Linked DNA regions of Saccharomyces cerevisiae S288C. The gene in region 4 interacts genetically with the main gene of each other region. Each region holds a gene or a part of one and is shown on either strand. Other genes may lie near its edges. The genes, in order: YJL107C, PFY1, MPC3 and MGT1.

Region 1 (8,968 bases), on a different chromosome or scaffold from region 4:
ATATTGTTTAAAGATATTAGCTTTAGCGCGGTTGGAGCGGCTGGAGATATAGTTACTCTTAACAAAAACGTTATTCTTGATTCTAAAGTAGTGAAAAATGAAGTCAAGAAGGAACTTGCTTTATAGCCTTTACCAATAGCTTCAGTGAATAAAGATAAAACCTTTTTGTATCTTTCTCCAGTTTCTGTTAGCATGGACACATTCGTTGTGTTTATCAATTCTGAATGCTTATCCAAGAATGTTTGAAATGAAGCGGTATCCTTTTTAGTAGTTTCCACGGGGTCGCTTAACTGCTTTACAATGTCGGTGTTAACATCGGCATTAGTGAACAAAGATGTAGTAAGCCTGATTTCGAAGAGTTCGCCTGTCAGTCCCAATGATTTCAAACATTTTAACACCAAATCTTCATTTATGGAGATAAAATATTCGAATAGTTCTACTAATTGTGACTTGTCCTCTAAAATTTCGGAAAGGTAAATCAAATCAGTGATTATCAACCTAACTTCGTATCTTTCTAGTCTTATTTTTTTTAGTAGGCTAAGAATAATGTTCAATTTGGACCGATCATACCTTGCTATGGATCTTGTATAGGAAGTAATGAATTTATCACAAACTGGTTTGTCTTCCTTATCTAAGAAGGTTAGTATAGACACAGTGTCGAACTTGCTATCAAATAACTTGAAAATTTTGGAAGGTAGCTGATCTACGTTACCTTGTCCTTTTAATGTTTGGAACAGCTTACAAATCGTGAGGAGTGCTGAATGTTTTGCCTCTTTAGCATCTAAGTTTGAAAGAATGGTTTCCATGGCAGCTAAGATAATTGTTTTCTTTAAAGGCAAAGCTGTAGCAAATACAACTAATATGGTATGTGCAGCTATTTGACAATCCTTTGATTTAGAGGCTAAAAGTTTAGCAGATATTTCAAGTAAGATTGGAACAAGCTGATTCAGTTTTTCATCGTTGTTTGAATTGAAAGCAACAACGTTAATAAAGCAGCATGTTGTAAATAAAAGCTGGTTAGTATACGTTGCATTATGCTTAATACATTGATCCAAATAACTGGTATAAAGTTTCAGAAAATCCATGTCATTAAAGAGCTTTATCATGGTTAGCGCCGTTGGGGGCTTTTCACTTCTAACAAAATTCGACAAACAATTAAACAAAGGGGGCAACTTAATAATGCTGAGAATTCTCTTAAAGACAGGTGTTTGGTAGTAGTTGAGAGTGGACAAAAGCAGCATCTCTGTGTTTTTAACATGTATTTGAAAACGACGAACCAACCATTCTGTTGCATGTAGTGTAGGTGCTAAATACCATTTAGAAGAAGCCAATAGCAAGTAAGCATTGATAGCATTATCCAAATCTTTAATTTCTTCTTTTGTTTGGACATTTCTATCAAGAGAAATGGAAGACTCTGAAAAGAGTGTTCTTGAGAAAATGGCAAATTTTGGCTCAATTTGGCTCAATTCTTCAAGAGCCTTACTAGCGTTTTCAAAAATGAAATCGTAATCTTGTGTTGCAGCCGTCTTTGAGTTATAAATCAAAGAAGCAGAATGAAGTTTTTGTCTTCTCTTTCTATCCAACGCAACAGTAGCATTGTTGGAAGCAACTTGAGCTAATTGGTCACTCAACGAAGACATTTTCAAAGTTATTCGTACTTTGGTGGCCAGTTAGATAAGTCTGATTCTGAAAGGTAATAAAGAAAGTATTTGTTACACCTTCGAAAATATCTAGCTCATCGCTAACTGAAAATTTTTTTCTTTGCTTAACGCAGAAAGAAAAAAGAAAAAAAAAAAAGTCATGTGACTTGAATATTATTAATCTATGTATGTTATGATTATTGGCTATGAAACCATAAAATTGAAAAAAAGGATTCATAAGCTGATATGTTATTTGTACTTAATGCTATATTTATAATTTACTTTTGAAATTTTTCTTAGTGGGTCAAAGTCTTCTTTGATACTGAAGAATGACCCAATGGCAACACTTGGTCCATTGGTTAACAAGTTTCTAACGAAGTGGACCTTGTGAGAGCTTATAAACTGAAAAGACCAGTTTTCTTTTTACCAAAGGGGTAGACAAAGAGTGAAGAAGCAAATAGTCCCACAGAAATACCGACACAAACTTGAATCATTGTCATACCAAATGACATTGAGGACGATGGATCGGAGGTGCTTGTCGTAATGGTTTCATTAGCATTAACAATTGTATTTGCACTTTGCAACCCAGACAACAACGAATTTTGTGAAGCAATACCAGATGGCACTTGAACGAAGATTGCGGGAAGCATAGCTGATACCGCTAAACCTTTCCAAATTCTGGAATATAGATTACCTAAAACACCTATGACAAATGCAGCTAAGGCGGCAGTAAACTCTGTCGAATTCGCAAAATGCTTACCGGCCCAATATGTTACGACATAACCGGTGCAAGAAATGAAGACCATAACTGGCAGTTGTGAGATGTGTGCTTGATTTAATAACGAGATACTAATGGTAAACGCTGGAACGAAGAGGAACCTGAACCACGGAGAAATTAATTGAGGACATGAAATTTCGTTAGTGGCATTGTGATACATCCATCCAAACAAAGCTGAGCCCAATGTTATGCCAAAACCCAAAAACAAAGAATAAATAATGGCGTAGAACATACGGACCGCGCCAGCAACTAGGCTTCGACTTTGCAGTTCTAGTGCACCACACAGAATAATATAACCTGGCAGGATTAATGCCAATGAGCCTTGTGTAACTGCACCAAAGCAGATGTGAGAACGAGGGATAGAGCCAAAAGCTCTACCGCAGAAGCTAACGACAATAGATGCAGAAATTTCGAAGACGTTTGAATACATGTATGACTTTTGTGAAAGAATAAATTGTAATGACCCCACACAAAGCCCCATAAAAAATGAGATTGCCAGGTTTACCCAATCGCCACCAAAGGCATACGGAGTGACCATAGCGGAACAAAATGCATATAAAAGAACACACATCCAAGGTGGATATAGATTCGTGTCAGCCAAAATTTGATCGAGTAAAGCATTACCTTCATCGGCACCTAAGGTATCATGGACAACTCTTTTGTAAACGGCATGAACTTGATGCAGCTTCCAAAGGTTTAGACCTTGAGTACACCTAACCAATTGAACTTCGGAAGTTCTTGTTGTTGCATCACCAAATGAAACAATCATACAACCTGGAAGATACAAAACTGACCATCTATTTCAAGGACTCTAGAAGTCATAACCATATATTCTTCAAGCCTATGCGTCGGAGCACCATACATCATAAGAGCTCTACACATGCGTAGGATGAACCGGTGTCTTTGTAAAATGTCTGCAATGTGAACCGTAATTTTCGCTTCAGTTTTTAGTCTTTTCTTCAGTCTAGGCATTCTGCCTTTTTTAGCCTTGCCTTTTAAATTTTGTAATCTGCTACGCTTGGCAACTGGTACGTCTTTGTTTCCAGCAGTAGAAGAAATACCTTCATCATCTGTTGTTACAGCTTGTGAATCTGAAAAGATTGAGCTTGAATTTTGATCTTCATTTTGGTAAAGTTTCAATAATGACCCTAGTACTCCACTTTTCACTTGAGATGGAGGGGGTACGTATGTGGAGGTTTCAATAAACCCTTCGTTATCGTCGGATGAATTGTTTTCTGCATAATCATCAAAATGATCCACTGCAGGAGCCAGAAATGAATTTTTTGAACTTGAGCCTAACGTTTCGCCATCCGACGTACAATTTACGTCACCTTCTAATTTGAGAGCCTCCAGTTTTTCTTTATCGTCGCCCTCATGAACGTCTACGATTTTAGACGCATCAGCTAGATCGGATAAGGGAATTTCTTCATTACGGTTATTTTTTTCTATATCATTCTTCCCATTTTCATTTTCTGAAGGTATTGGTGCCAAGCCAGGGACCAAACCCCCTTGATTTCCAGTCAGGTTATTTATTATCTTCTTGATGAACGTCTCATCGTCTCCATCCTTACCATTGTTCCTTAAATGTGTGAAAGAAACTTTAGGCTTCCTCTTGTGGCGAGCAGGCCTATCTTCTTCATCTTGTCCATCTGTGCCCTTAGAATTATCGCTGGTTTCTGTAGATCTTGAAGACAAATCATTTTCTAGAGCATCCGTATCAGCAGTGAATCTTACATTTTTGTTATCATTATTAGAAATACCTAGATCACTGATGCTTTTACCACTTAAATTGCCTTTTTTGCTCTCGGCTGAATTGGAAGTGCGATGGTCACTACTATCTTCAAGATTCACTCCCGCTTGACTTTGCTCGGAGCTTCCCACCCGAAAATCTGACACAGGAGTGGTTGGTTTTTCATTTCTACCGTCCATTGTATAGCCTATCGGTTATTCGATCTTTTTTCTTTTGTTATTCTATATCTAAAAGATAAAAGTCGCACACCGCTAAGTAAGTAAGTAAGTGTTATATAAGATTTATTTAGCTACGTTCTCAGATATAGTAGGCTTAAAACAAACGTAAAACATAGTTATATATTAATATGCAATTCGGTTTATTTCTTTTTCAAGATTCTTCCGAATTTCGTCATATTGGGTTCGCAATTTTTGGCGATGGCTTTGCTTCGATATTTTTCGGATGAAAATAGTCAAAGGACACTAGAAACACGAATGGCGCGCTGATTACGGAGACGTCGGGCTAAGACAAAGAGGGTCCATTCGGCGTGCTGGTGGTACTGTGACAGATAAACCCAATGCCCCACTTTTCTCGAGGAGTTGAAACAAGCGGGACAACTGCTACGTCATAAAAATGGGAGTACCAAGGGAGGAGCCATAAGCCGGGTAAAATTTGGCGCTGTTTTTCTTAATCTAAAAATAGTTCAACAATAAAATTTGGGCTCCGCCCATCCAGACCAAAGCAATCTTCGGCCTTAACAAGCCAAAGGGAACGAAACCCAGACTCTACCATGCATTTCGAACATGTTGTAGCTAACTACACTGGTAACCCAGATACCTATTCTCTCAGTAGCTGTTTCACCAAGACTCCGCACTCATGGTAAGTAGAAAAAGAAAACTCTCACAAAAATCTGAGTGGCACAGCTTTTCCAAATACGCTTTTTAAACTTGGAGAAATAAAGATGTATTACCCGCTGGTGCCTTAAAATATCCTTTTCTCCGGTTGTCCAATAATTTATGTTACGGCGGCTATTTGAGTTTTTGTGGAAATCTCTATCATTAATAAATGTCAGCCTTGTGTCTTAAATGCAATTCAACAGGGAAAAGGCGCGAGACTTCGGCGGCAAAAAGCCACAGACAAGTGCTGGTTGCAAAGAGGTAAAGAAGTAATGTGTGTAATCAAATAGATATATTAAGGTAGCAACTCACCGGTCTGTCCATTTTCTTTTCCTGAATAACTTCTTCTGTCTTCACACATTCATTTCATTTTTATTTTCCAATATCACTCAACGAGAAAGAAGTTACAAGATCTATCTTTCAAAATAGTTTACAGTTACCTTTACTTTACCCTTTCCCTTTTCAGTTTGTTACCCCTTCTCCTAAAAGTTTTATTTTTTGGGTAAAGATATAAAGGACACTCCAGTCGGTTAAGGTGGCTGTCTAGAGAATATAAACCTGTATTTATTTACCAGGCTTATCAGAAAAGTTAATCGTGTTCTTAAATATTCATTGAAAAGGAACGTGATACAGACGTAATAAAAGAAGAGTACTAAGCTTAACTTAATAGGTCATTTATGGTTGAAAAACGTAGTAGACAGAGTTCCAGTAGTGGCTCAGAGTTCAGTGTTCCACCTGATGTCGATAACCCGCCACTTTCTATCCCTTTGAAGACTTTATCAGACAGATATCAGCTGATCGAAAAACTAGGTGCAGGATCATTTGGTTGTGTAACTTTAGCCAAAGCGCAATTTCCTTTATCGAACATATTGGGTAAACAACATGATATAAGGGGTACTTTAATGGATCAGCCTAAAAATGGTCACCAAAACTATATAACAAAGACACAAGGTGTAGTGGCTATAAAGACAATGATGACAAAACTGCATACACTCCAGGATTATACGAGGGTCAGAGAAATTAAGTTCATACTGGCAATCCCAGCGAATGACCATCTGATACAAATTTTTGAGGTCTTTATTGACTCTGAAAATTACCAATTACATATCGTAATGGAATGTATGGAGCAAAACCTATATCAAATGATGAAACATAGAAGGCGCCGAGTTTTTTCGATTCCTTCTTTGAAATCTATTCTATCGCAGATACTGGCTGGGTTAAAACACATCCACGAACATAATTTCTTCCACAGAGATTTAAAACCTGAAAATATTCTTATCACACCAAGTACCCAGTATTTTGAAAAGGAGTACATGAACCAGATTGGATATCAAGATAACTATGTCATTAAACTTGCAGATTTTGGTTTGGCACGCCATGTTGAAAATAAAAACCCGTATACGGCCTACGTTTCCACAAGATGGTATAGATCGCCTGAAATATTATTAAGAAGTGGTTACTATTCCAAACCTTTGGATATTTGGGCATTCGGGTGCGTGGCGGTGGAAGTTACTGTATTCAGAGCTCTCTTCCCCGGTGCTAACGAAATCGATCAGATATGGAAAATTTTAGAAGTTCTTGGTACACCTATCAAACGTTCTGATTTTGTTAATACAAACCACATCACAGCTCCACCACCTGGTGGATTTTGGGATGATGCCAGTAATTTGGTCCATAAATTAAACTTGAAATTGCCTTATGTAGAAGGTTCATCGTTGGATCATCTACTTTCTAGCTCCCAACTATCCGATTTATCTGAGGTTGTCAAAAAGTGTTTAAGATGGGATCCTAATGAAAGGGCAACAGCCCAAGAGCTTTGTGAAATGCCATTTTTTGAAAACACCGTGGCATCCCAAGTAGACGCAAGAGGCAATGTGACTAATACAGAACAAGCATTGATTTTTGCAGGTATAAATCCAGTAGCGACCAACACAAAGCCCATATATTTTAACTCTTCAACAAAATTGCCCGCAGAAACAGAGTCTAATGATATTGATATCAGCAACAACGATCACGATTCTCATGCTATGTGCTCACCAACATTAAATCAAGAAAAACTAACTTTGGTAGAATTTTTAAACGAATTCGTTGAAGAAGATAATGATGATCACTCAATACCTGATGTTGGAACAGATTCTACCATTTCAGATTCTATTGATGAGACTGAATTATCAAAAGAAATTCGTAATAATTTGGCCCTTTGTCAACTACCAGATGAAGAAGTCTTAGATCATTCATTATCGAATATTAGGCAGTTGACAAATGATATTGAAATTATAAATAAAGATGAAGCAGACAACATGGAACAGCTATTTTTTGACCTGGAAATTCCTGAAAAGGATGAGTTTCAGAGAAAACAACCATTTAATGAACATGCAGATATTGATGAAGACATCGTTCTACCATATGTGAACAACTCAAATTACACACATACAGATAGGTCACATCATAGAGGTGATAATGTTTTGGGTGATGCCTCTTTAGGCGATTCGTTTAATTCAATGCCAGATTTTACTCCAAGAAATTTCTTGATACCTACATTAAAAAAATCACGGGAAAAGTTCGAGCCTCATCTATCCAATTCAAACCAACATTTTGGAAATGTAACCTTCTAATAATTTGTCATTTGACTGACGAATCGTTAGGCACAGTTATATAGTTATATACACATAGACATACATATGTTCGCATATATATTATATTACTATGCATTCACCTAAATAGCTACTGCTCTATTAATACAGTGCTTTTTCGATGGCTTTAATTTAACTTATTAGACATTACTTTGCGTTTATTCCCCTCCAATATATTTTTATGTTTGTTTTTCTTGAACATTTTATGATTTCTTGCTCTTGGCGGCTACTGATTTTGTTAAGCAACTCATCAAGAGGTCAAAAAAAGTAGAACGAGATCTTTGTGTTCGGTTACCCGGCTCAGATCCTAACTTGGTATGTTTATTCGTATAAGTTACTGTTGTCCACAGGCAATACTCTGCAGAAAATTAAAACGGCATTAATGCTAGGACAACCAGAACTGTTACTACTGTATGTGCGATAGTTGATAACTGCAACATTATGCCCGGTATATTCTCAAAAAACCCTATTACTGCATACGAAGAAATCGCAAGAGAAATCTTTCGGTTTGGAAAAGCTCACTGTGAGGTTCCTTGGAGCCAATAGTAATACAGCACAATCCAAGGAAAAATCTGGCCTATATGCAAGGAAGGAGAGATAGTCAAAAGCATTCTTTCCCCTAGAAGTTGGTGCATATATGGCATCGTTAAAACATATTACCCCCAAAATTTCTTCTCTAAACGATGTGCTTGGCCTTTGTTTTGGTTTTTGATGTCGGTCGTTTGAGGCCCCTTGCGGAAAATCGAGATCGCCGAATGGCACGCGAGGGAAGGGAAATAAGGTTTAAAGGCACTGAAACAATAGGCAAGAAGTAGGCGAGAGCCGACATACGAGACTAATGTGTCCGCGTTTCTAAGGCCACTTTTCAATGAAACGGATATTGATATGCTAGTAAAAGGACGAGCTCAAGAGCGAAAATATAAGTAAAGAATTCGAGTGCACTTGTCTCCATGCAGCAAGATTTCATATGAGTCTTTTTTATCTTTTTACTTTTTACATTACACGATATGCACTTTATGAAAATTTAACGAGGTTGGAAGCCGGATAATCAACCAAAATCAGGCACGAAGGCACACTCGTATATGCATGTTGTTGAAACTCTGTTACGCTGAACTAACAATCACACATGTAGAGGTCACCGGGAAAAGTTGCGACCCCATGGAAGGTCGATCTCTTCGTTTGGCTTTGCTTGGCTGGCGGCATTGCGCTTCTTCGCTTATACCCGTCTCTTGACGCTCGAGCTCGTTCATTGAGATACCTTTATTCTTGCACATTTTCTGGCTTTTTTCGCT
Region 2 (8,235 bases), on a different chromosome or scaffold from region 4:
AGAAGACCGTGCCTTACTGGAAATGGCAGGTTTAGTTGGCCAACATCAAGGTGGCGGTTCAATGTGATGCCTGCCTTTTTTGCTGTTTTTAGTTATTGGGATTGATTTCACTAAAAATCAAGACCACTAAATAAGGCTATTGTTTATTTTAATATTTATTGCACTTGTATGAAAAGTACCAAACTTTTGATACTGATATTACACTTTTAGTCTTGAACTTTCTTCGTTAAATTGCTGACCTACTTTCTGTTCTTCGACTCCAAACAACGATTCCCAAATGTATTTTCACAGGGCCGCATTATTTCTTTGATTTCGTTTTTTTCACCAATTTTTTCTTGATGTGCTTCTTGACTTTTGTTTTCCTTTTTTCTCTTTTTGCATCTTTAGCTTCCTGCTTGCGCAATTTTTTTAAATCCTTGTCCTCATGTTTCTTCCCCTTTAAAACTTTTGGTTCATCATCGTCATAGTACTCGCCCTCCTCCTCGTCATCTTCTTCAGATCCGCTTGAGCCGTCTTCTTCATCATCTGAGAATTCCTCTGTGCCAGAACTACATTCGTGGTCAGCGTTATCAAATTCAAATTGCTCAGAAGCAGCAAAATTGCGTTCATTATCATGGGCAATCAAGCTTTTCAGTAAGTCAAACTTACCATCAGTATACCTATCAAAATCTCTTTCCTCTAATCCACCCAATGATCTAACTAAATGCAGCGATCTGAATATTTCATCTTCTGCCTCATCTTGTTCTGTAGATTTTATTGGTAGATTACTAGCAATGTATGCAACCAAGGCGCTAATATTGTTATAATCACCTTTAAATTTCTCCAAAGTTTCTGATATGACAAATTGAAAAATAACCCTTTCAGGGAAAATACTTATACCCATCTTCTCGAAATAAAGGTTAACGTTTTTGATATCCATCCTTAAAAAATCTAAACTCATTGGATGTTCAGGTTCCACACTTTGGGAAACATCGATCATATATAGTTTATCATCATGAACTATGGTGTTATACTCTGACAAATCGGCATGAACCAGGCGACAAACTTGGTACAGCAATCTCATATATGCCACCATTGTGTGATAATAATGGAAAATTTCATCACGATTCTTGTACGGATAATCTTTTAATTTAGGTGAGGCAAATCCATTACCTCGGCTTAAAAATTCCATAACTAAGACGTTGTTCTTAACTTCTATTGGCTTAGGAGCTGGAATGACGCCACTTTGATAAATTCTTTTCAGGTTCCTAAATTCCTTTTCAGCCCAAATTTTAATCATTTTCCTTGGATTATGTTGAGATCTGGAATTTCTAAATCTAAATTCACCATCAACATATCTTTCACGATCTTTGAAGACTAGGATAGAGGTCTTATAAATCTTAATGGCATATTCTGCACGGGATCCGTCTGTCTCTAAAACTTCATACTGGCCTGTTTCCTCATCTATTACGGGTGCCTTACCGGTACCTGCAAAAGCGTGGTAAACATTAGCTTCTTTCCCAGTACTTAAGCAACCGTTCAAATCTGCAATCACACCTCTGGTGACCATAGACTTCAAAAATCTCATAGTTCTCGGATCTAAGACATTTTCCACAGTCGCCCTATTTGCTTTATCCTTTGATGTTTTCGCTCTGCTGAATGATAATTCATCAGTTTTTATTTTGTGACTATACTTCTCTAAGAGCTGATTATTAATATGGTCCGAGGCACCTTGCGACACAGACAATGAATCAAATTTATCTTCCAAGGACATGACCTTCTAAAAATAACGGAGTTTGAATCTCTAAATCTGTTTTAACTTCTTTTTACTATTATTTTTAGTCTTAGTATCTCATCTCATCTCAATTTCTATATTCCACTATAAAATTTTTCACTCTTTCTGCGCGCGCCAATGTCCCCGCAACTACTCAATAGGTAACATGAGAATATTTCAGTTCGTAAGAGAGAAGAGATGAAGTTATTTGGGCTCTTTGCTCGAGGTTACAGAAGGGCCGCATTAGAGTGAATGAGCTGATGATATTTCGCCCAGTTCTACATTTTTTTTTTTTTGGAAGTATGACCTCTGTTAAATTTTTTTTTTTTTAAATTTCACTTTCTAAAGTCCCAGAAATCCGCTTGAATGTCTTACATATTGCAATGGATATGCTTGGGTGATCATACTTCCTGGCTTTAGATATTTGAAACTTAACTCTTGTCAACAAACTTCCTATGGAGTGTATAAGAATTGTAAGTTATAACACCGGCGAACAATCGGGGCAGACTATTCCGGGGAAGAACAAGGAAGGGCGGTCTTTTCTCCCTCATTGTCATAGCAAGGTCATTTCGCCTTCTCAGAAAGGGGTAGAATCAATCTAGCACGCAGATTGCAAACACGGCTTAATAATATGCCTATCAGGCATTCACCCGTGTGACGAATCGCACACCGCTGCTCTCCTTAATTCCCTAGAGTAGAAACCGAGCTTTCAGGAAAAGACTACGGCAGTAAAGAATTGCTTTACTGGGCGTATAAAACCGGGAGAATCAAGACATTCTAATGACTTGATTCAGGATGAGAGCTTAATAGGTGCATCTTAGCAAGCTAAAATTTGGACAGCTCTCATTACTAAATTAAGATAGAAAAATGCCTGCTACTTTACATGATTCTACGAAAATCCTTTCTCTAAATACTGGAGCCCAAATCCCTCAAATAGGTTTAGGTACGTGGCAGTCGAAAGAGAACGATGCTTATAAGGCTGTTTTAACCGCTTTGAAAGATGGCTACCGACACATTGATACTGCTGCTATTTACCGTAATGAAGACCAAGTCGGTCAAGCCATCAAGGATTCAGGTGTTCCTCGGGAAGAAATCTTTGTTACTACAAAGTTATGGTGTACACAACACCACGAACCTGAAGTAGCGCTGGATCAATCACTAAAGAGGTTAGGATTGGACTACGTAGACTTATATTTGATGCATTGGCCTGCCAGATTAGATCCAGCCTACATCAAAAATGAAGACATCTTGAGTGTGCCAACAAAGAAGGATGGTTCTCGTGCAGTGGATATCACCAATTGGAATTTCATCAAAACCTGGGAATTAATGCAGGAACTACCAAAGACTGGTAAAACTAAGGCCGTTGGAGTCTCCAACTTTTCTATAAATAACCTGAAAGATCTATTAGCATCTCAAGGTAATAAGCTTACGCCAGCTGCTAACCAAGTCGAAATACATCCATTACTACCTCAAGACGAATTGATTAATTTTTGTAAAAGTAAAGGCATTGTGGTTGAAGCTTATTCTCCGTTAGGTAGTACCGATGCTCCACTATTGAAGGAACCGGTTATCCTTGAAATTGCGAAGAAAAATAACGTTCAACCCGGACACGTTGTTATTAGCTGGCACGTCCAAAGAGGTTATGTTGTCTTGCCAAAATCTGTGAATCCCGATCGAATCAAAACGAACAGGAAAATATTTACTTTGTCTACTGAGGACTTTGAAGCTATCAATAACATATCGAAGGAAAAGGGCGAAAAAAGGGTTGTACATCCAAATTGGTCTCCTTTCGAAGTATTCAAGTAATTGTTTTTGCGTGTTTCTCGTATGATTGTAATATGTAGATAAATTAAACATAAGTATATCAAATGTCGATATTCTTAAGACTGTTTCGTAAATATGTTAAATACCGGATGTGACTACATATAAAAAGTGCGCCTTTTACAGTGATAATTAGCGTCAATCAATAAAATATTTGTAAAATAGGAAGCGAAATCCCGCAGATGCCAGAATAGGTGGTGTATAAGGCAAGAAAACTTTACCTGCATAAATTAGTATTGAACACCAATCAAGTAGTCAGCCAATTGCTCGACAATCTTGGTGGCCTCACCGGCTTGTACGGTTGGTGGATAATGAGCAATAATAACGGTTTGCTTAGTTCTTACACAAACAACACCCTCAGCATCATGTCTACCGTAGATACTTCTATCGTCAGCTCTCAACAACATGAACTTTTGGCCTTGAATATGCAAACCATTGCTTTGCAAACCAGCTGGATTGTCGAAGCCTTGAACAATTTCACCAATTTCGTTTGGTTGCAAAGATAGGCCACCAGAAGTAGCCCAAACAGCGTCACCTGCTCTCGAGTAGATGACAGCTTTGTCGACTTTACCGGTTCCTATTAAGTTATCAGTGTATGCTGTTTAAAAGTAGGAGAAAAAAACGGAAAGAAATTCATGTTTGAAATTTCATATGTTTTTTGATATTCCAGTTAGTAATTTACTCTGAGTGGTTAATCTTCGAAATTACGCGCATCAACAAAAATCGGGCATTGCCAAACATTGTCACACAAGCTAACCTCCGACTCATTTCTTTCTTAATCAATTGATAATTGTCTCGTTCACATACCTTGCCAAGACATAATTTGCGATCGTAGTTGGGTTTATGTTGTGTATGTAATTTATCTTTTCTCAAGGATCACACAGTTGTTTTAAGAAGGGAATGAGAAAGGGTCAACTGAGCTTTAAAAAGAAAAAAAATATTAATGCGGGTAATGAGTTTCGTACAAAGACATTTCATGGCGTGTTCTCGCCAAAAATCATGGTAAAACCTCCCACACAGTAACCTCATACTAAATACTACAACATGTCATCACTCCATTTCTTTGCGATTGTACATACTAATATATATAAACAAAGTAACGTCTCCTCTAATCCTCGTCTTCGTCGTCCTCGATGACCGCAACCCTTCTTCTTTTTGTCTCGCTCCTATCTTTTTCTTCTTCTTCCTCTTCTCTGTACATTGCTGCTCCTTCTCTTTTTAAATTTCTTAGACGAGAGGCGTTCTCTTCATCCGCGTCCTCTTCTTCTTCTTCTTCCTCATTATCATCCTCTTCGTCGTCAAACGCAGCCTCCTCTTCCTCATCGTCGTCGACTAAAAAGTCATCTTCTTCATATTCATTTCTTCTCGAGGCTCCATAGGTAGTGGGTGAATTTTGCTTTCTAAATCCCGTCTCAAAAGCGGCATCTGGGGATTCTTGTTTCTCCTTTTCTTTGAGCTGTCTTCTCCTTCTGTCTCTTAAAATCTGGCTTTGCTTTCTCTCTAACTCCTTCTTTTCCACTTCAGGATCCATACTTACAATGTATGTTCCAGGACCCTTGCTTTGTCTTTGGTTCCTTCTTATAACAGCTTTACTTAGTTTTTGATGTATTTTTGAATTCGTCGAAGTTGGAATAAACATCAACGTCTTTTTTATTTCACCCCCTTCGTAACACTGGATCAACTCTTGTTGGTCATGCGATACTGTCAAAAAAGTGTTGCTCGTATCGTTGACCAATATATCTGTACACTCTTCACCAACTTTTAGCGAATATGTACCGTCTGACCACTGCACTATTTGTGTATTTGATTCTTTAAAGACATGTTGGTCTTTGTCACGAGAGTATCTCCATCTAACAGTGTTTTCATCAATCAGGCGGTCGTCCAGTTGATCCTCCCTAGAAGCTGAATTGCTTGCCCTTTCGTTTACTTTGGCCTCAAAACTTGGAGGGTCGAAAGGAATTGGATCGATAGTTAAAAAGTTGGGAATTCTAGCATAGAAAATTTCGTTGTGAGACGCCGTTTCATTCACATTAGCTTTACTTGGAATAATATGTCTGACAAGCTCTACATTTTCCTCTTTAAAAGTGTGAGTAGTCTCATCTTGATCAGAAAAGTTATTAGCATCCTCACCATAAAATTTTCGGGTGTACATGGCTTGCTCCTCTGCTTCATCATCATCTAACCCGAGACTTTCTCTATGACGACTTCTATGGTTGATATTCTCTCCCTCGTCGTCTTCATCACTATCACTATCACTTTTTTCAGTCTCCGATTTTTTAACATCATCATCATCATCGTCATCATTGTCATCTCCAAATAAATCATCTAGTTCTGCGTCTTCTTCTTGTTCCTCTTCTTTAGTATCATCATTTCCATTGACTTCCTTGACATTATCATCTTGAGAGCGGCTTGTTTCCTCATTGCTTGTACTATTGGTGGTAACGCCGACGTTATTGCTGATTTGCTCCTTCTGTGGTTGATCCTGTGGGCTTTCAGATGACATCTTAATTATAGTCCAGTATATCTAATTGGATTACTTTGATTGGACGCACCTAGTTTACGCAACCTATCTACTTAACGACTTTCTTCAGCTTTCGTATTCACTTCTATGAGCTTGTTCTTTTTTTTTTTGTTTTTTCGTTTTTCTTTACGTAGCAGATAGTCACCCGTAACGATTGAATATGGCAAAGCTTTTTACATAATAATGGTACTTATGGCAATAGTGACATTTTACATAAACTCTTCATTGACTAAGACTACTTTAGAATTCTTTTCAATGGCTCAATATCACCTTCTTGTCCTTGTTTGACATATACTAGGAAATATGGAGTTGCAGTGTTACCCTCATTGAAATTGAAGACCTCCTCTTCCTGGACCTCACTGATGGTTTCATCATTGTACTTCCTCCAAATTCCATTGCGATTTCTGTCCTTGATATATATCCAATAGTGACCATAACTGGCCTCGCCGCGATGAATAAAAACCGAAAACAGTGAGTAACCATATTCCTTGAAATCGTCAAATTGATGGCTTATTTTCTCTTCCAAACTGTTGATATCATTGTATAATTTCATCAATTCATTATCGATATTTTGAACGTTGTTTCTCAGCGTCTTTATCACATCATTAGCAGCCTCAATTTTTAAAGGAGTTTTCTTTATGGTATCCGATTCCAATAGCTTGATACTCTCCAAAAATGCATCCTTCCTTGTAAGCCCTGAATCATCACGACTCAAAAGCTCTCTTTGTCTATTTTTCATTACCTTCAACTTTTGCTTCATTTCTTCTGTTTCTTTCTTTTTTGCCAACAATAAAGGGTTCTCTGTATCCGCGTATCTGTCCATGTAAATAACTTCTTTGAATGGTAAGGGCTCAATGGATTTAAACGGCATTAATCTTTCACGATCGTAATAAACTCTTTGGATTTGTACCTGCAAAATAGTAGGAAAAGTTGTAACAGCAACGGTACGTATAACATCACCATACTCTTCCATTGTCAGATATTCGTCTTTAAAATAAGAATCAAACGCATCATAAATATCTTTAGGATGATCGCCAATATTTATCAGTAACGATAGGAATCTTTCAACTTTCGTACGGACTTTATTTGTTGCGGACAAAGGAACAATACTTTGTTTAGTAGTACCATAAAATAGTTGCTTAACCAAGTCATATTGCTCGTTGTCTTCATCATATCGGATAGGCTCTGAACCGCTTTCTATCTGAAATAACACGTTTCCTATGCATTCAGTAACATCTTGTTGCCTACCCATTTCCAAAGCATTTTCTAATTGATCAGAACTGATTTTTGCCACACGCGTAGGTGAAGTTAATCCTGTTGTATCTTCGTTCTCACTTACTTCAGCATCATTCGATTCATTTTTTTTTCTGTTCGCATCTGTACCAACATCGCCATTAAGGCCATCTTCCATTTCTAAATCAATCAGGCTTGTATCCTTTATTTTTGTAGTAAATGCGTCATCCGTTGTTTCCTTCTTTGAATCCGAAAGAACTCCTGTTTGATCAACTACTTTATTGCCTTCCACTTCAAATTCTACTTCAACATTACTTGGAGCAAATGCCAAATATGCTAGCTCTTTTGAGGGTGTTACACATCTTTCTCTTGTATGAACCATCGCATAGAAAAGGTTGCGAAGTTGGTATATGAATTGAATAGATCTTTCCACTTCGCCTCTACTAATTTCTCTTCCACCAATTCTTCTAATATGCCCACTATTAGAGAGGTGGTCATTGAAATTTTCTACCGTTTTTTGATATTCCAATACATATCTTCTTAGTGGCGCAATGGAAAAGTAATATTGTAATAAAGAATTTAGGTAACAGGTGTTCCCGATATTATTAATGCCAGTTGGCCAATTTTCTGGCGGCAAGGAATTTGGATCTATCGTACCAGTTAGTAAGAAGTTGGTGATTAAAGTTGAATTTCTTTCTATACTGATTTTGGTCAATGCTGCCCTCAAAATAAGAAATTGGTCAGGCTCATAAACGTTTTCATCAAACCACTTTTGTTTAAAGATTTTCAAAATGGTTTCGTCAGAGGCATTTTCATTCACTTGAAGAAGCTTCAATGCCTCTTGGTAATCAAGCTTCTCTGGACCATAATAGTTGGAAAACTGTGGGCATTCCTCTGTTAAAAAATT
Region 3 (8,036 bases), on a different chromosome or scaffold from region 4:
AATCGGCACCGGTAGCAATACCAGCCATCAAGGCCAACCAACCACAATGTCTACCCATAACTTCAACAACAAAGGCACGGGAGTGGGATTTAGCGGTGGCATCAATGTAGTCAACCATTTCACAGATTCTTTCCAAAGCAGAATAAGCACCAATGGTAGAGTCAGTACCAGACATATCATTATCGATGGAACCGACAAGACCAACAATGGACAAATTCTTGTATGGGGCGACTTCTTCTTTAGTGAATCTACCTTCTGCAACCAATTCATCAACCAAAGATGGCCATTCGTGTCTGAAAAGATCAGCACCGGTTAAAGAACCATCACCACCACAAACAACCAAAGCGTCAATACCTTGCGAAATTAAATTGCCTGCAGCTTGTCTACGACCCTCACGCTTTCTGAATTCCATAGAACGAGCAGTACCAATCAAAGTACCACCTTCACTTAACCAACCTCTGACATCTTCCCAAGCCATTTTCTTTAAATATTTACCGCCTCTTAGTAAACCTTCGTAACCTTCGTAAACAGCAAAAACATCACAGCCGAAATGTATACCTGTACGAACAACGGCACGAACAGCGGCATTCATACCTGGAGAATCACCACCAGAAGTCATGACAGCAATCTTCTTCTTCTTTTGAGAAGAGCCCAATGTTTGTCTTAGTAAGTCAGAAGCATCGGAAGAAGCTCTAGAGATGATTTCGTCTTCGGAGGTAGCTTCTAAGAAAGCATCTTTGGAAGTTGGAGCGGAATCGGTTGCATTAGCTAAGCCTGAGAAGGTGATGTTGTTGCCCATTGGATCTTTCAAAAACACTAAGGTATCGGACAATTTTTCGGCTTGTTTTGGGAATTTCTCGACAATCTTGTTCAAATCAGTAGAGAAATAAGTGATTGTGGCGGTTTCGTTGGTGTCGAAAGTTTCATCGATTGGAGCAGACATCACTAAACGAATCTTTAATAGAGCACCTTGACTTTGAGCCTTGTTAGTAGCTTCTTGTTGTGGTATACGGAACCCAGAAGCATCAACCTCACTCAACTTGAAAGATTCTAACCAAACTTCTCTCAAGGAATCTTGGGAAGTCCCTGAAGATAGTAAGCTATTTTCACCATGTTTGAATTTGTTGAAATCTTTCACAGTTGCAAATCCTAGAGTGTGATAAAAGTGAATGGTCTTCTTGAATAAAGCTTCATCATTTGTGATGATAGATCTGAATGCAACACCGTAGCATGAATCTTGAGATTGCATCTTTGATATGATTTTGTTTCAGATTTTTTATATAAAAGCTTTCCCAAATAGTGCTAAAGTGAACTTAGATTTTTTGGTACCTGTTTCGAAATTAAAAATAGAAAAATTTCTCTCCCTATATTGTTATTCTTACTTCAAATTTGTTTATCGTTTATTTACTAGGCGAGACTTGAGTAGACGACAATCCAAATAGAATTAACAGATTTTATTGGTAGAAAGCAATAATATTCTTTAGATGGTTGAGAATAAAGAAGTAAAAAAACCAGTAAAGAGAAAAAGAAAAGGAAGAAAATTAAAGAAAAAGGATGATTACACAAGAAGATAATAAAAAAACTCCTTTATTAAGAGCGGAAGAATTTAATAATGAAGATGGGAATAAGCAAAACAAAAACAAAGAAGGGAAAAAAAATAAAAAATCGTATTTATTTATTTAAAAAATCATGTTGATGACGACAATGGAAAAAAAAAACCGATTTCACTTTCTCATCCTTATATTTTTCAAAGGTTGATGCAAGTCGATCTCAAATCGGATAACGCTGCCAACTGGGAAATTCCGCAATTCCGCAAGAAAAAAAAAAATGTGAAAACGTGATTGCATTTTTTACAGGTCCTAAAGGATTTAGCCCACATATCAAGAGGGTGGCAGTAATTGCACTGATTAAGCATTCGTCAGCATTAGGCGAATGTGTGCATGAATATTGCCAGTGTGCTCGATATTAGAGAGTACATTGAAGAATATTGTACCGGATTATGTACAATAACTTTGTTAATGAGATATTAATTTTCTTTTTTACTAGCCGCTATCCCATGCACGATGCTAAATTTCAAGAAGAAACTGAGATTTAAAAAATTAGTGGAAGCTGATAAAACGGACTATAATGGTGTATGGATTGAGGAATCTCGACATGTTTTTCCATCGTTTTCAACGATGACTGTAACCCGTAGATTGAACCAGGCATGCCAAAGTTAGTTAGATCAGGGTAAAAATTATAGATGAGGTTATATGTATGGTACGTAAAATTTACATGTTTGGATAGTATCATAAAATATAGAAAGGTGGAAGGGATTACCTAAAAATCAGAGTTTATAATATGCAAGGACGGCCTGTTGAGAACAAAAAACTGTAGTATCTATCGCTCACTATATATCTATTAAGTTAGGATTTTCTTGCTGATGCTGCTGTTGTTGCTGTTGTTGATTGATGGGGACAAACGCAGTGGGAACCATAACATACCCTGTTTGCTGACCCTGCATCATTTGTGGTTGCTGCTGCGCACCAGTAGAGGCATACTGAAGTTGACCGGCCACGGGATTCGTCATGTATGTGCCCATTGGTGATGTCACCACGTTTTGAGCCTGAAATGGATTACCTGTTTGACTATGAGCAAGAATCGGGGTGGTTTGTGCTTGTTGGAGGGTAAAAGGATTTGGGGAGTTTTGGAAATTTTGTTGTTGCTGTTCTCTGGCAATATTTTCTAGCGAAAATGGGTTGTTAGACCCCGTTTTTGTTGGATCTAAAGTGCCGGTCATAATTGCATTGTTCTCGGTGGTCGTGTATCCGCCGAACCCTGAGCCGGTGAAATTTGGGGTGTATTGAAGGTTAGAAGCATACATCCCAGTTTGTTGATTATTCAAATTTGGAGTAATCTGTATCTCACTTGGTTGTGGCATTGTAGACGCAGATGTCAACTGTAAAGCCTGTTGCTGTTGTTGCGGTATCAAGAAGGGGTTAGCAGTTGGTTGAGGGACTTGAGCGGTCATTTGTGGCTGGGTTGGTTCGAATGAAAAGGTGTCATTATTTAAATCTTGCTGTTGTGATCCAAATGGGTTGTAAGCATCTTGTGGGACCGTGGGGGAAATGAGCAACTGTTGGTTTTGTAATTGTTGCTCCAGCAGTCTTTTTTGTTCCCTTATCTGTTCCAGTTTCTTCTGCGCTATAGACTTATTCTTGTCATTGCTGTTGTTATTGTGACTACTGGTAGAGCTAATGGCCGTAGATGGTTTTCTATCTTGCTGCGGTTCAGAAGGTTCACCTCTTTGTCTTTTTGTTTCCTCTCTCAAATGCTCCTCAAGGGAGTTAATTAACTTTGTAGTAATATGTTTGATAACGGGGATTTTCAAACCGACAGCTTTTCCTATTTTTAGGTATCTAACAACATATTCTGTCATATCCACGAAATCCTTATAGAGATCCAGTGTTCTTTTTGCGTGCTCAATGGACAATTCGAAGAATGATTCTAAAAGTGTAATGACACCTTCATTAAGAGCATTGTACAGACCTAGTAAATCTTGTACTAACAATTGGAATGCATACAATAACAAATGGTTTTCTAAATCTGAAACAGAGTATTTATTCCTTATCAAGGCATTAATTTGAATTTCCAATGATTCAACATGATCTAGCTCTTCATCCATTGAAAGCTGGTTCTTACTGCCCAGCTTTAGCGAGGAGTAATTGTCTCGTAGGTGATCCATACCTAGCCTGCCATACTCTTCACAACGTGTTTTTAGGTATTCGTCGTATCTCTGCAAAGCCCTCATATCATTGGAAGACCACTTAGTAGTATGCGAAATCTTTCTCAATTGGAAAACATCCAAATTATGGGAATAGTGCCTTAGCGTGACATCTTTTTCGCCTTGTTGTATCATCAGATGCAACACAATCAATGCCTTATAAACAATGGTCCAGGCTGTATCAGACAACCTTATATCCAATGCGTGGGTAATCTCTTGCAATCCTCTTGCGCTCGAAGTGCCCGAGAGAATAGGGTCCACATATTTTTGCTTTGGAGGGGCCATCTTTATTTTGGTCGCCCCTTTAACCAACTTAGTATATAATGAAGACATTGTTTCACAAACACGCCTCTATATCTATTATAGGGGTAGCCGAGACAGTCGCGCTTGTATGCTTGATATTGTTACTCTCGTAGATGTTAGCAAGCGTAGCAAATTGGTACTCCTGCTACAGATTTATTTTTTCTCCTTCTAAAATTATAACTCAAGCAAGAAGCCCTAATAACAAGTTAACCAGACTAATAAGTCGACTTTTTCCTCGAATGTAGAAAAGAAACTTTTCTACGCAGCTGCAAACTTAATCTATCCCTCCACCAAAGCAAAATGAAAACAAAGCCATACTGGGAAAAATCTGAAAAAAAAAATGGTAGGAGTAAAAGAAAAGAAAAAATAAAGGTTACCCTGCAGTTTGGATAGTCGGGTAACATTTGGCCCTTTTCCTCCTTGATTGGATATTATTACCCCGATTACCCCTCATCTTGGGAGTGCCCCGCTTTTATTTCTCCCGCCAATCGGCTATTAACGGCTTTACGTCATTCCGTGGGCGGGTCAAGCGAGCCGCTCCCTGGTTTGGTCACGCAAAACCGAAAGGCTCAAACAAAACTAAGGCCATCATATATATATATGCGGCTGCGTGCGTGTATTCTCCCGGATAATATGGTGCGTTGCAATTGGAGTATTGGAGAAAATTTTCTTTTCCCTTTCATTACGGCGGAAATACTTCATATAAAAAAAAAGAATACAATCAGTCTTTAAGACTATACGCATAAGCATTCAAGACACATAGAAACACAAACCTATATTTTTAATGTCAGCATCAGCTTTTAATTTTGCCTTTAGAAGATTTTGGAATAGTGAAACAGGCCCTAAAACAGTACACTTCTGGGCCCCAACTTTGAAGTGGGGGCTGGTCTTCGCAGGGCTAAATGATATTAAGAGGCCTGTTGAGAAGGTATCAGGAGCACAAAATTTATCTTTATTAGCGACGGCACTGATTTGGACGCGTTGGTCGTTTGTCATCAAGCCCAAGAACTATCTGTTAGCTTCCGTCAATTTTTTCCTGGGTTGCACTGCAGGCTACCATCTAACAAGAATTGCTAACTTTAGGATACGGAACGGTGATTCTTTTAAACAGGTTATTCACTACATAATAAAAGGGGAGACTCCTGCAGCCGTCGCAGCAAAGCAAACTGCATCCACATCGATGAACAAAGGTGTGATCGGTACTAATCCGCCAATAACGCACTGATTACGTAAACGATAATATGTTCCTGAACTCGCATTTTTTTAATGATTTTTTATGACCTCTTATATATTCTTTCATTATATAACCTCTATATTACATCAAAAGATGGAAAAATATAAAAAAATTAAAAAAAAAAAAAAGAAATTTTTTCCAAAAGAGTATATTTATATGTATGTATACATGTAGGGAAAATAAGAAACTTTATTAATAGTAAAAAAGCATATATACTTTATTATTAACTCTTTTGTTTTTCTCGAGAAGCTTAATTTTGGGTCAATTCAACGACCTTTTTAGCAGCAGGATCTAATTCATCAAACGAATAAATCTTCACGCCTGACTTATTGATAATGTCGCGGCCTTCTTCTACTTTGGTACCTTGCAAACGTGCCACAATGGGGACCCTAACTTCTAGTTCTCTGGCGGCTTCTACCAGCCCCAGGGCAACATAGTCACATCTTACGATACCGCCGAAAATATTGACGAAAATTGCATCTACGTTCTTATTGGATAAGATCAATTCGAAACCTTGTTTGATGGTCTCAGGGGTGGCACCACCACCACAATCCAAAAAGTTCGCAGGATCGCCTCCATTTAATTTGATGACATCCATAGTAGCCATAGCCAAACCAGCACCATTGACTAAACATCCAATGTTACCCTTCAACTTAACAAAATTCAAATCATACTTCTTTGCCTTAACTTCATCAGGATCTTCTTGTGATAAGTCCCTCCAGGAATATATCTTTTCCTGTCTGAATGATGCGTTATCATCAAACCCAAATTTGGCGTCTGTACACATGATTTTGTGGGTTGGATCATGTTCAATTTCACTCAAAGGGTTAATCTCCACTTGTGTAGCATCCCTTTCCATGAATATTTTATACAAATTGGAAACAGCTTTTGCTGCCTCGTCTTGTGCATCGGGACTGAAACCGAGACTCTTGGCAACATCCTTGGCCATTTGTGGGCTCAATCCCTTTGAAGTTTCAATTGAAAATTTCTTTATAGCATCTGGGGTTCTCTCAGCCACCTCTTCAATATTCATACCACCTTGACTGGACGCAATGATCATCGGTTTCTTGGTTTGTCTGTCCATTAGAATAGATAAATAAGCTTCATGCTTTGTATCTACTCTTTTCACTATATATACAGCAGATACTGGCTTCCCCGCTATTCCCGTCTGTTTAGTAATCAGGTTATGATTGAGCATTTCTTTTGCAACATCCTCTGCCTGCTGAGGACTTTCGATCATGTGAACACCGCTTTTGTAACCGGTGTCGAAGTGACCTTTACCTCTACCTCCGGTCAATGCCTGCGCCTTGATGACCAGTTTGTTAGTGTTTAATTTCTTGGCTGCTTCGAAAGCCTCTTCGGGAGTGAACGCTGGAAATCCTTCTGGAGTACCAATACCGTATTCCCTCAATAACTGAGCTGACCTGTATTCATGAATTGACAAGTGTCTCCTTGCTTGTAAAGCAGCTTGCGCGTTTAGCCTGCTTAATTGCCCACACTTTGAAATTAGGGATAAGGATTTTCTTGAGTACATTTTGTTCAGTTGCAATGCTTCAGTATTTTTTTCGATTGTATTGACTCAATCCTTATTAATCCTAACTACCTAAAAGTCAGTTACAAAAAAACTGGACTATCGCTCTATAGTCACTGTTATTTTTCGAGAGAAAACGTCAAAGTGCTGATAAGGAAAACGTCGATCTTATATAAAACCTCAAAGATGTTGACTACGCGGCAATTGAAAGGCCAACCAACTTTTAGAATACTCACTCCGCCGCTGCGGGGAAAAGCCGAGAATTCCCGATGAACACATAATCGATACCAGTTGGAGCATTTTTCTCTGTACCAAGACATAAAAAGAGTTTTTTTTAGTATCTACCTGGCTTTGGTGTTCCATTCAAGGTAGAGAAGTCCTCATACAGTTGGAGAGATGAATGTATCTGTGTATATGTATGTATATATTAATATGGCTACGATGTCGTCTAATACCCCTTCTTCTTTTGTTTGGTGATGTGTGCACGTAACACTTTTTGCTTGTCTCGTAGTGACATTTTTTGTTTACCTCTAACAGATCTCTTGTGAATAGACATAACAAAGTTCTTCCTTCTTTCTTTTTCTCTGTTGGTAGTAGAACGCATGTTGTCACGCTTACCGCGTCTACTACCAAATTTGTCTCTACCTTCACGACCTTCCAACACCTTTTGTAATCTTTCCTCACGAGACTGTTTGTATTTGATAGGGCCTGTTAGTGTACTTGCATCAACTAACTCTTCACGCTTGTCTTGTTTGTGGATACCCATTATTTTAGCAACGCTTTCCTCATTACGCAATTCTTGTAGTTTAGCGAAATCTGCCGGAGTTAAAATACGTGTAGAAGCAATTTCACGGAAGGCAGCTTCGGGATCTATATCTGCATCTTCTTGCTCATCCTTCACTTCTTTTTCATCGTCATCATCGCTTAGTTCCAAATCGGAATCTGATTCCTTGCCCTTAGCATTGTCTTTTTCATCGTCACTATCTTCCATATCAACGTCATATTCTTTATCACTATCCATGGTGACCCACTCACCGTCGACATCGTCTTCTTCGCTATCGACATCTACTTCCCAGTTGGCATCAGCGTCTTCATTTTCACTCTCTTCACCATGTTCTTTCTTCCATTTGGCTAACAGTTCGATACCAGCAATCCCTTGAACACTGTTGTCGGCACCAAATTGCGGTCTTTTTGAATCTTTACCT
Region 4 (8,025 bases):
GCTCGCGTCGTGGTTCTCTATATAGAGACAGCGATGCTACTGTGGTTTTGCCGCTTTCTGAACATACCCCTAGATTATCAATGGATGATCCATACCGCCAATTACTACAACAGGCTGAAATCTCACAACTACGAAGTAAGAAAAAAAGGCATTCCAGTCGAGTTTTGCGTACTTCGTTTATATCTTTTGTGGTGCTAGTTTCCTCGCTGTCAGGGTTGGACCAAGGCCTCATATCTGGTAACGTTATGACTTTGTCGTTCCAGAAGTATTTTCATTACCCACTTACTTCTCCGCTGGGCAATATAGTGAGCATTGTTAATCTGGGTGCGTTCATGGCGTCGTTATTTGTCTATTCTGGCATCCTGGAGCCTTGTAGCAGGAAAAAAATGCTCCAAATAAGCACAATGATATACTCTTTGGGTGCCATTGTTCAGGTCTTGGCTCTAAACCAATGGTGTTTACTACTGGGTAGATTCTTACTCGGAGTAGGTATGGGCTTTGCCTTTTCTATGGTAATAATTTATCAATTCGAGTTTCCCCTTCCCTGTATAAGAAAACGGACATTAATTTCCATTCAATGCGTCTCTAGTGTCATTGCGTATTCATTCGGAATATGGATTAATTGTGCTTTCAGATATTTGGGCTTTGCATGGAGATACCCTTTGTCAACACATGTGGCACTTGGAATAATACTAAACCTAATGTCGTTCTATCTTATTTTAGAGTCCCCTTCGTGGCTGTTGAAGCAAAAGAACGACGTAGAGGCATTGGTTTTAATATCGAATGTTTTCGATGATGGAAATTTCGAAGAAAACCAAACTCAGTTGAAATTTAGGGTCCTGAAACGAGACATATTATTAAAGTCACACCTTCAAAAAAACTCCTATCCATATGCGTATATCTTAAAGGATTTTTCTTCAATAATAAAATTGTTGATAGGTTTCCAACTTCTCACACGAACAAATGGAGTGGATGCTTTCTTGTATTACTCACCGTTAATATTACAACAAATGGGGAGAGGAGAAAGAAAATCTATCTATTTAACGGGGCTTAATGCTTTAATTTACAGCATCGTAATATTAGCATATGTTCCCTTGGTGTTACGGAAACGTAAAGAGAAAACGAATGTACTCTTAGGTTCGATTGTGATGTGTGCATTGCTATTTACCATATCTTTTACAGACTGGTTTCCCAAGAGCACAACGAGGTATATATCAATACTATTTGCTGTTTTTCTTTTTACGCACTTCATCAGTTGGGATTCTATAGGATGGGTTATGACCATTGAGCTTCTACCTCACTTGTCACAGGCCCCAGTGATACTACTAGTCTCAAACTTTTATTGGATTTTTAAGTGGTTCGTCAGCTTAATAACCCCTATACTTATTGACCGTCTGTCTTGGAAGTTTTATCTTATTCCATCTTTATCTTCCTTTATTTCCATTATATTTGTGCTGAAGATTTTTCCTATAGAAACCCGTGACGAAAGGTTAGATTCTGATGATGATTCTACCGGAAACGGTAGCGGTAACCATGATGATGTTTTTGACGATACCGGTTCTGAATTCTCCTCCTCACCATCTTTTTCCGCGTATCAGATAAACACTCTAGGAAGTAGTATCAAACAAAATAATCAAGCCTATTCATCTATTCAAAATGAGCAGATTCTACCCAAAAACGGAAACTTATCGAACCAGACACACGGTTCTGCACAAAATGTTTATTTCATTACATCTGATTCAGGACCATCAAGGACTGGAGAATTTTTCAGTTTTCATAACAGAACCGATCCAAATATCAGCGACAACATTGCTGCGAATAAACCCAGTTCAGGTGGAGGCCAGAATTCGCCTGGAGACATGGCAGTTGCCTAGTATGGCCTCATAAAAATATTTGCTTCATCCTAAGTATAAATGTTTAGTTTTATCCTACATACATATTCTTATTATAGTCATTAGAAAAAAGGCACGGCGCTATTGGCCTGGCAGGGCATTTAAAATGCGGTGGAAACAAGGAAGATTAATCAAGTAATGATATAGCATATGCACAAAAAAAAAATTGAAAACGGTCGCATTTTTGATCTAAATGGACCAACGATGAAGGAACTGCTTTACTATACATTCATTGAAACTGAAGTGACTGGTGCATTTTTGGTGTTTAGGGAAAAGACTCAAAACCTTGTTTTTGCCTCGTTAGGTAATGATAAGCTTTTTTTATTGGGAAAGGTGGAAGGCTTCTTGAAGAAACATGAGAAACAGGATACAATGTACGATTTACAGGAACTAAAAGAGGCAGAAACATATAAGAAATCAATCGAAAATTATACAATATGTTTAGAAAACAAAATGCCATTACCATCGGGCGCTATTCCCTTTGAGTTCCTGTTTGGAACAGATTTTCAACGTAAAGTTTGGAATGAGCTTTTAAACGTGGAACACGGCCACGTCGTAACATATGGTGATATTGCAAAGAGAATAGGGAAGCCAACTGCCGCAAGATCTGTCGGAAGAGCTTGCGGCTCAAATAACCTGGCATTGTTAGTACCTTGCCATAGAATCGTTGGTAGCAATAGAAAATTAACCGGATATAAATGGAGCTGTAAACTGAAAGAACAGTTATTAAATAATGAAAAGGAAAATAGCTTAAGCCTTAGTAGATTGTAGTTGGATAAAGGATTTTAGGAAAATAAACATAAGAAATAGTTATGTATATGTGGTAAATTGTTCTAGTTATACATCTATGTTACAATATGGCTGGCGTTGGTAATCTTGTGAAACAAGCGACGAACTTGTCACCCTTCTTTCTTTCCACTTTTTTACCTTCTTCTGTGGCATTTCTCATTATTTTCACACATTCATCGTTTTCTTCCCATTCTTTGCTCAACCGTTCAAATAAAGGATGCTCTTCTAAATGTTTTACCATCCACTCATGCAGGTCTTTGACGTCTGTAATTGTGTACACGACACCGCCCTCTTTCAAAACATATGCGTACTCACTCAGCAAGGTGTTAGTGATAATTCTTGCCTTATGCTTTCTTTGTTTGAAATGAGGATCGGGGAAACAAAAAAACATTTTAGAAAGCTGGCCCTTTTCAAAAAAGTTGGGCAAGAATTTCATAGCGTTACCTCTCAAGACATTAATGTTTTGAAATCCATGTTTTGAAGCTGTATTGTTCCTTAAGGCAATAATTCTATCCTCCACGTAATTTGTAACCTGCACACGAATTTCCATCCCTAAGATAAGATCTTCAGGGAAGGCTGGTGATAAATCTATCATCAACCCACCGAATCCACAGCCAATATCAGCAATCGTCACCTTCTTTGTCATTTGTCCATTTTCCGCGTTTTTGTAGTAAGGGTACAATTTGGACCAATCCATATCCTGGGGAGATACTGGGTACTCTAACTGGTGATCTGAAAATGGGTTGGAATGCGCCCTTTGACGATAATATCTCTTCTTTGGCAAGTCGATCTTTTGGCCTTCTTGCACCAAAGAACTTTCATTGATCTTTACATGCTTCAACTCCTTACGATTTTCTTCCTTATTTATACGGTATGCGTAACGCTTGGAGCCTGGATCTTGGCTTAGTGGCTTGGCTTTCATCTTAACAATAAACGCTTGAAAATTTTATCCTATGGGAACTGCTGAATCTATACTAATCCAGCTTTTGTGGCGCTTTAATAAAGTGAAATGTCAGAAATATCCTGAAATTTTTTGCTGAAGTCATCACCAAAATTTTTCATTTTTTTTTTTTTTCAACGGTCGCTGAGATATGTAAAAAGGTAAGAAAGGTAAAAGAAAGGTAATTTTGACGTCAATACATAGACTAAAGTATATTTACCGTTATTGCTTCATTGTCTTTTTATTTTTTGATGATGTATGTACATGATTGAATAGTAAAACCTTTATAAAACTTGTCGAATTACGGGCATTTTCTTTTTACTTTGATCCCTTCGATTCTGCATCTGTAGTTGACTCCACATCCTCTTTAGGTTTTTGGTTGTCATTGTGAGATTTTAGTGTTAAATACAATGCATTTGAACTGTTTTCCAACGTACGAACCAAACCCAACCCACTTAGCATTTGCAAAACGCTGACTAACTGCGACTGCATTTCCGGCTTTGTGGGGAGAGTCTTAAAAGTGTTTATTTTTTCCACATTCAAAACTTCGTTTTCTACTTTTGCACCAATCACCATCAGCTTGTCTTGTGCTGACTGCAGAACCTTCAATAGCTTGGCTACTTGTTGAGGGTTGGTGTCTTCGTATGTAATTGTGGCCGTAGGACCCTTCAGTAGTGGCAAGAGTGGATGTTTCCAGTTTTGCTCTTTACGCTTCACGAATCCACATGGGTCGGGCAGATGCGAATTTCTCAAGTAGACTTCGAACAGGTTGTTTCTTACTTTTGTGAGTTTCCCTCCTGTCTGTTTAATCTTGAATCTGAAATGGTGATCTTCTGTTTTGGAAAGATTATTGTAATGGACAAAAAAAATCATAGAACTGTTCTCCATTAAATGCTTGTATGTATCGATGAGAAACGTCTTCCTCGAGTCCAGCGGCTTTACTGTCTTTCTTGAGGGTTGTTCAGAAGCCAGAGCATAAAATCTCTTATGTACTGTACCAATTGTCTCCTTCAAACCAAAAAAACCATTTCTGGGGACCCATCCAGGCATAAACCTTAGCTGCAACATTATTTATAATCACACTCCGCGCCCAAGCACTTCCAATAAGGTCTAAAGCTTTTGTTTTCCTTACTCTTCAATTGTACTAACCTTCTTTCTTTTCTCAGTTTACTGCTATAACTCTACGTTTTTTTCTGTATGAATCTCTACTAAGCCCTAGGGTTATTAGTGTATAAACGTTAGGTTACACTATGAAAAAGACTTGTTTAATAGGTCATATAGTAAAAAGCTTAGGTTAAGTGCCTTCAAGAACGAAACCTAATTTTAAAATTGACGACTAATTATCAAGTGTATTGAAGATGGCTTGAGATGAACCTTAGCACTGGATGCTATGGCTTGTAGAATAAGCAGATATCCCGGTAATTTAATTTGAGTTGCTCAAATTATATACAAGAACGTGGTAGAGACTGGATTTGGAAGCGTCTCTTTTTATGAAGTAGATTTTAACTCCGTTTTCTTTTCATTTCCTTCTATTCTTTTGTACAGAGTGTACCACCACGTTTTAATACTTTGTTTTAATACAGTAGGCAATGGTTAATCAGGGCCAACCGCAACCTAACCTCTATGACAAACACATTAACATGTTTCCACCAGCAAGGGCGCGGGAGTCCTCGCATAAATTGGGAAATGCCAATTCGGATAGGCATGGTTTGCCAGCTCAAAATATAGTGCCTGCACCCTATCCAGTGGATGACTCTATCGTTGAACTCACACCAGCTATTCCTTTTACATCCCCTTCATCTTCCTCATCATTATCGCTGCCTTTGAGTGCGCTGAATTTCACAGACGGGAATGCTGATGGTGGTCAATTAGGCACTCCAGTAACCATAAATAGTAATAACGGCATGGACATTTTTAATTCCAAGCCAACAGGTGAAATAGGATATGCCAATAATGGCACCAACAGTACTGGTAGTAGGTATGAACTTCCTTTCAATTTTAGTTCTACAAAAGAGAGTTTGGGTTCACCAGCTGTACAAGATGCATCAATAAGCAGTGGAAATCGAATATCAGAGTCTGTAAGGGACAACTCAGCGCCACCACCCTATGAGGAATCTGAATCTAGGATACTGCAGGAAAAAGTTTACAGAACCGAGGAAAAAGCTCCAATACGACCTTTGAATAATAATCCTGTTCCACCACAAAAAATCAACCAACCACCCACTGGGAGCGCGAAGACAGACGATAATGGGTCCTCAGGTGGTGAGGACAAACTGTCTTCCTATTCACCAGAGGCATTGGCTTTCTATCAAGTGTACAAGAAGACAATTACTGACTCTTCAAAATTCACCCCCGAGATACAAATGCAATGGTGTGAAACATTACTTACATATGCCTTTAATGAGGATTTCATATCGCAATATAACATAAACGCGGAGAAGCTCAAAAGAAGCTTAAAGCCTGAGGAAATGCTCAAAAACCAGAAAGTCATTTTGGAACATTCATTCAAGGTGCTCACAAAATTGATAACTTTAAAATGGCCACCTGCCATGTATTTAATGGGGACGCTGTATTCACACCAACCCTATTTACCTATAAAGAACAAAAACATCGTTATTAAAAATGATGAAAAGGCGCTGGAATATTATTGTAAAGCTGCGAAATTGAACAATTCAGATGCATGCTACCGTGCAGGTGTATGCTTTGAATACCAAAGGGGCACCTCTTCTTTGGATCCATCACCAACCAAAGAACAATGCATAAAAAAGGCCTTCCAATACTACCAGCATGGCGCAGAAGTTTGTTCAAATTCTGCGTGTATGTATAAATTAGGGATGAGCCATTTATACGGTCTGAACATGCAAAAGACTGATGTATTGCTAGCTATTAAATGGTTTGATAAAGCTGCCCAAAAGGGTGACTCTCCACAAACATTATATGAGTTAGGTAAAATATATGAATTCAGTGTTTTGCCGCCAGAAATCCAGAACCTATTATTTGCGAACGGCATACGAAAAGACTCTCAACTGGCAATAAAATACTACCAACAATGTGCCAAAGATTTTGAGTACCCTTTAGCGCAATGGAAATTAGGAAATTGTTATGAGTTTGGAGACCTAGGGTTGCCAGTGGTGGCCAAAAAATCCATATATTGGTATTCCAAAGCTGCTGCTGCTCAGCCGAAGGGGAATCCGATGGCAATGTTATCCTTAAGTGGATGGTACTTAACGGGAGCACCAAATATTTTGAAACCAAACAATAAAGAGGCATTCAACTGGGCCTTGAAGAGCAGCAAGTGTTCAGACGGTAAATTAGCCCGCACTGAATTTGCCTTAGGATTTTATTACGAAAAAGGTGTCGGTTGTGAAGTTGATTTGGATCTGGCCAAACAATATTATCAGAGGGCTGCAAGAATGGGATTCAGGAAGGCAGTTGATGCTCTTCGAAGTTTGACAAATTAACGAATTCGCATTTCTTTATTATGCCATAAATCAAATATTATTCAGGACATTAGTAAAATATTGTAACATTCTCCTCAAAAATGAGAGGAGAATAAAAATAACAAAAGCGAAGAAATGCGACGTCATTTACTCATTATTTTAAACTAAATAAAAAAAATATTGTAACTACTTATCGTTGTAATGATATCTTTTCTTCAAAAAAATATATAGTTGGTGATAAATATGACCTCTTTGAAAAAAAGAAAAGGAAATGAACTACTAGCTAGAAAGAAGAGAGAAAAAAAAAAAAACTAGATTATGCGTGTTGCAATTTTTGCTTTAGGCCGTGCGTGGTTTTGTGTAAGGTTTCATTATTCTTGATGGGAATCGATTGGCTTTCGGCGGGTTTAGTGGTGTGTCTAGTTGGAGCTGGAACGGTGATTGGATCTGGGATTTCCTTGCTTCCTACCAGATTGTAATCACCATCTTTTAGGTTTTGCTCCAGTTCACGCTGATGAGCTGCTAATTCTTCTTCAATATCAACTGTTCTTGGATCATATGTCTTGACATCTGGTTTACTGAAGTTTTCATGCCTGTTGTTGAAATCCTTCTCTGTTGGTATTTCCTGCTTCCCAGATTTTAAGGTGCCAATATTCTCATTCTGAGAAACTGGATATTCGGCTCGGTTATATTGAGAGGTAGAATAGCTGTCTTTGCCACTTTTGGAGGCTGACGTGTCGTTCATGTTGTCAAACTCAGAAGAGGAAAGGCCGCTCTTGTTACGTTGAGAAGTAGAAGATTTGTTTTCGTTACTGATAGAGGTTGAGTAGCTGCCTTCATCGGTTTGGGGTGGGATAATCTTGTCAATGTATGGTTCAGTCTTTTCAACCACCTTGTTGTAATTTTTGTGAAACCTATGAATAACTAGATCCTTCATCCTGTCGATAGCACGGTCAATTCTAGC

What was found.
Region 1: mutations in MGT1 (region 4) and YJL107C together harm fitness more than expected from each alone (negative genetic interaction), as found in Saccharomyces cerevisiae (one large-scale study listed by BioGRID).
Region 2: mutations in MGT1 (region 4) and PFY1 together harm fitness more than expected from each alone (negative genetic interaction), as found in Saccharomyces cerevisiae (one large-scale study listed by BioGRID).
Region 3: mutations in MGT1 (region 4) and MPC3 together harm fitness more than expected from each alone (negative genetic interaction), as found in Saccharomyces cerevisiae (one large-scale study listed by BioGRID).

What each region holds. Positions count from the first base shown.
Region 1 is NC_001142.9:215,670-224,637, forward strand, and holds YJL107C (uncharacterized protein), read right to left. Parts: upstream 4,348-8,968; coding exon 3,184-4,347; downstream 1-3,183. Other genes in the region: snoRNA-binding rRNA-processing protein UTP10, read right to left, coding at 1-1,640; pheromone-regulated protein PRM10, read right to left, coding at 2,036-3,187; protein kinase IME2, read left to right, coding at 5,721-7,658.
Region 2 is NC_001147.6:548,494-556,728, forward strand, and holds PFY1 (profilin), read right to left. Parts: upstream 4,395-8,235; coding exon 4,382-4,394; intron 4,173-4,381; coding exon 3,805-4,172; downstream 1-3,804. Other genes in the region: RTC5 (Rtc5p), read left to right, coding at 1-67; protein kinase RIO1, read right to left, coding at 299-1,753; glycerol 2-dehydrogenase (NADP(+)) GCY1, read left to right, coding at 2,621-3,559; Paf1-complex subunit LEO1, read right to left, coding at 4,683-6,077; ubiquitin-specific protease UBP2, read right to left, coding at 6,331-8,235. UniProt on the Saccharomyces cerevisiae protein: Binds to actin and affects the structure of the cytoskeleton. At high concentrations, profilin prevents the polymerization of actin, whereas it enhances it at low concentrations. By binding to PIP2, it inhibits the formation of IP3 and DG.
Region 3 is NC_001139.9:972,486-980,521, forward strand, and holds MPC3 (mitochondrial pyruvate carrier), read left to right. Parts: upstream 1-4,850; coding exon 4,851-5,291; downstream 5,292-8,036. Other genes in the region: PFK1 (6-phosphofructokinase subunit alpha), read right to left, coding at 1-1,249; YGR240C-A (uncharacterized protein), read right to left, coding at 2,092-2,292; YAP1802 (Yap1802p), read right to left, coding at 2,390-4,096; LSC2 (succinate--CoA ligase (GDP-forming) subunit beta), read right to left, coding at 5,551-6,834; SDA1 (Sda1p), read right to left, coding at 7,280-8,036. UniProt on the Saccharomyces cerevisiae protein: Mediates the uptake of pyruvate into mitochondria.
Region 4 is NC_001136.10:95,139-103,163, reverse strand, and holds MGT1 (methylated-DNA--protein-cysteine methyltransferase), read left to right. Parts: upstream 1-2,096; coding exon 2,097-2,663; downstream 2,664-8,025. Other genes in the region: YDL199C (uncharacterized protein), read left to right, coding at 1-1,874; TRM8 (tRNA (guanine46-N7)-methyltransferase), read right to left, coding at 2,743-3,603; mitochondrial 54S ribosomal protein uL10m MRPL11, read right to left, coding at 3,940-4,689; ACK1 (Ack1p), read left to right, coding at 5,211-7,082; RTN2 (Rtn2p), read right to left, coding at 7,378-8,025. UniProt on the Saccharomyces cerevisiae protein: Involved in the cellular defense against the biological effects of O6-methylguanine (O6-MeG) and O4-methylthymine (O4-MeT) in DNA. Repairs the methylated nucleobase in DNA by stoichiometrically transferring the methyl group to a cysteine residue in the enzyme.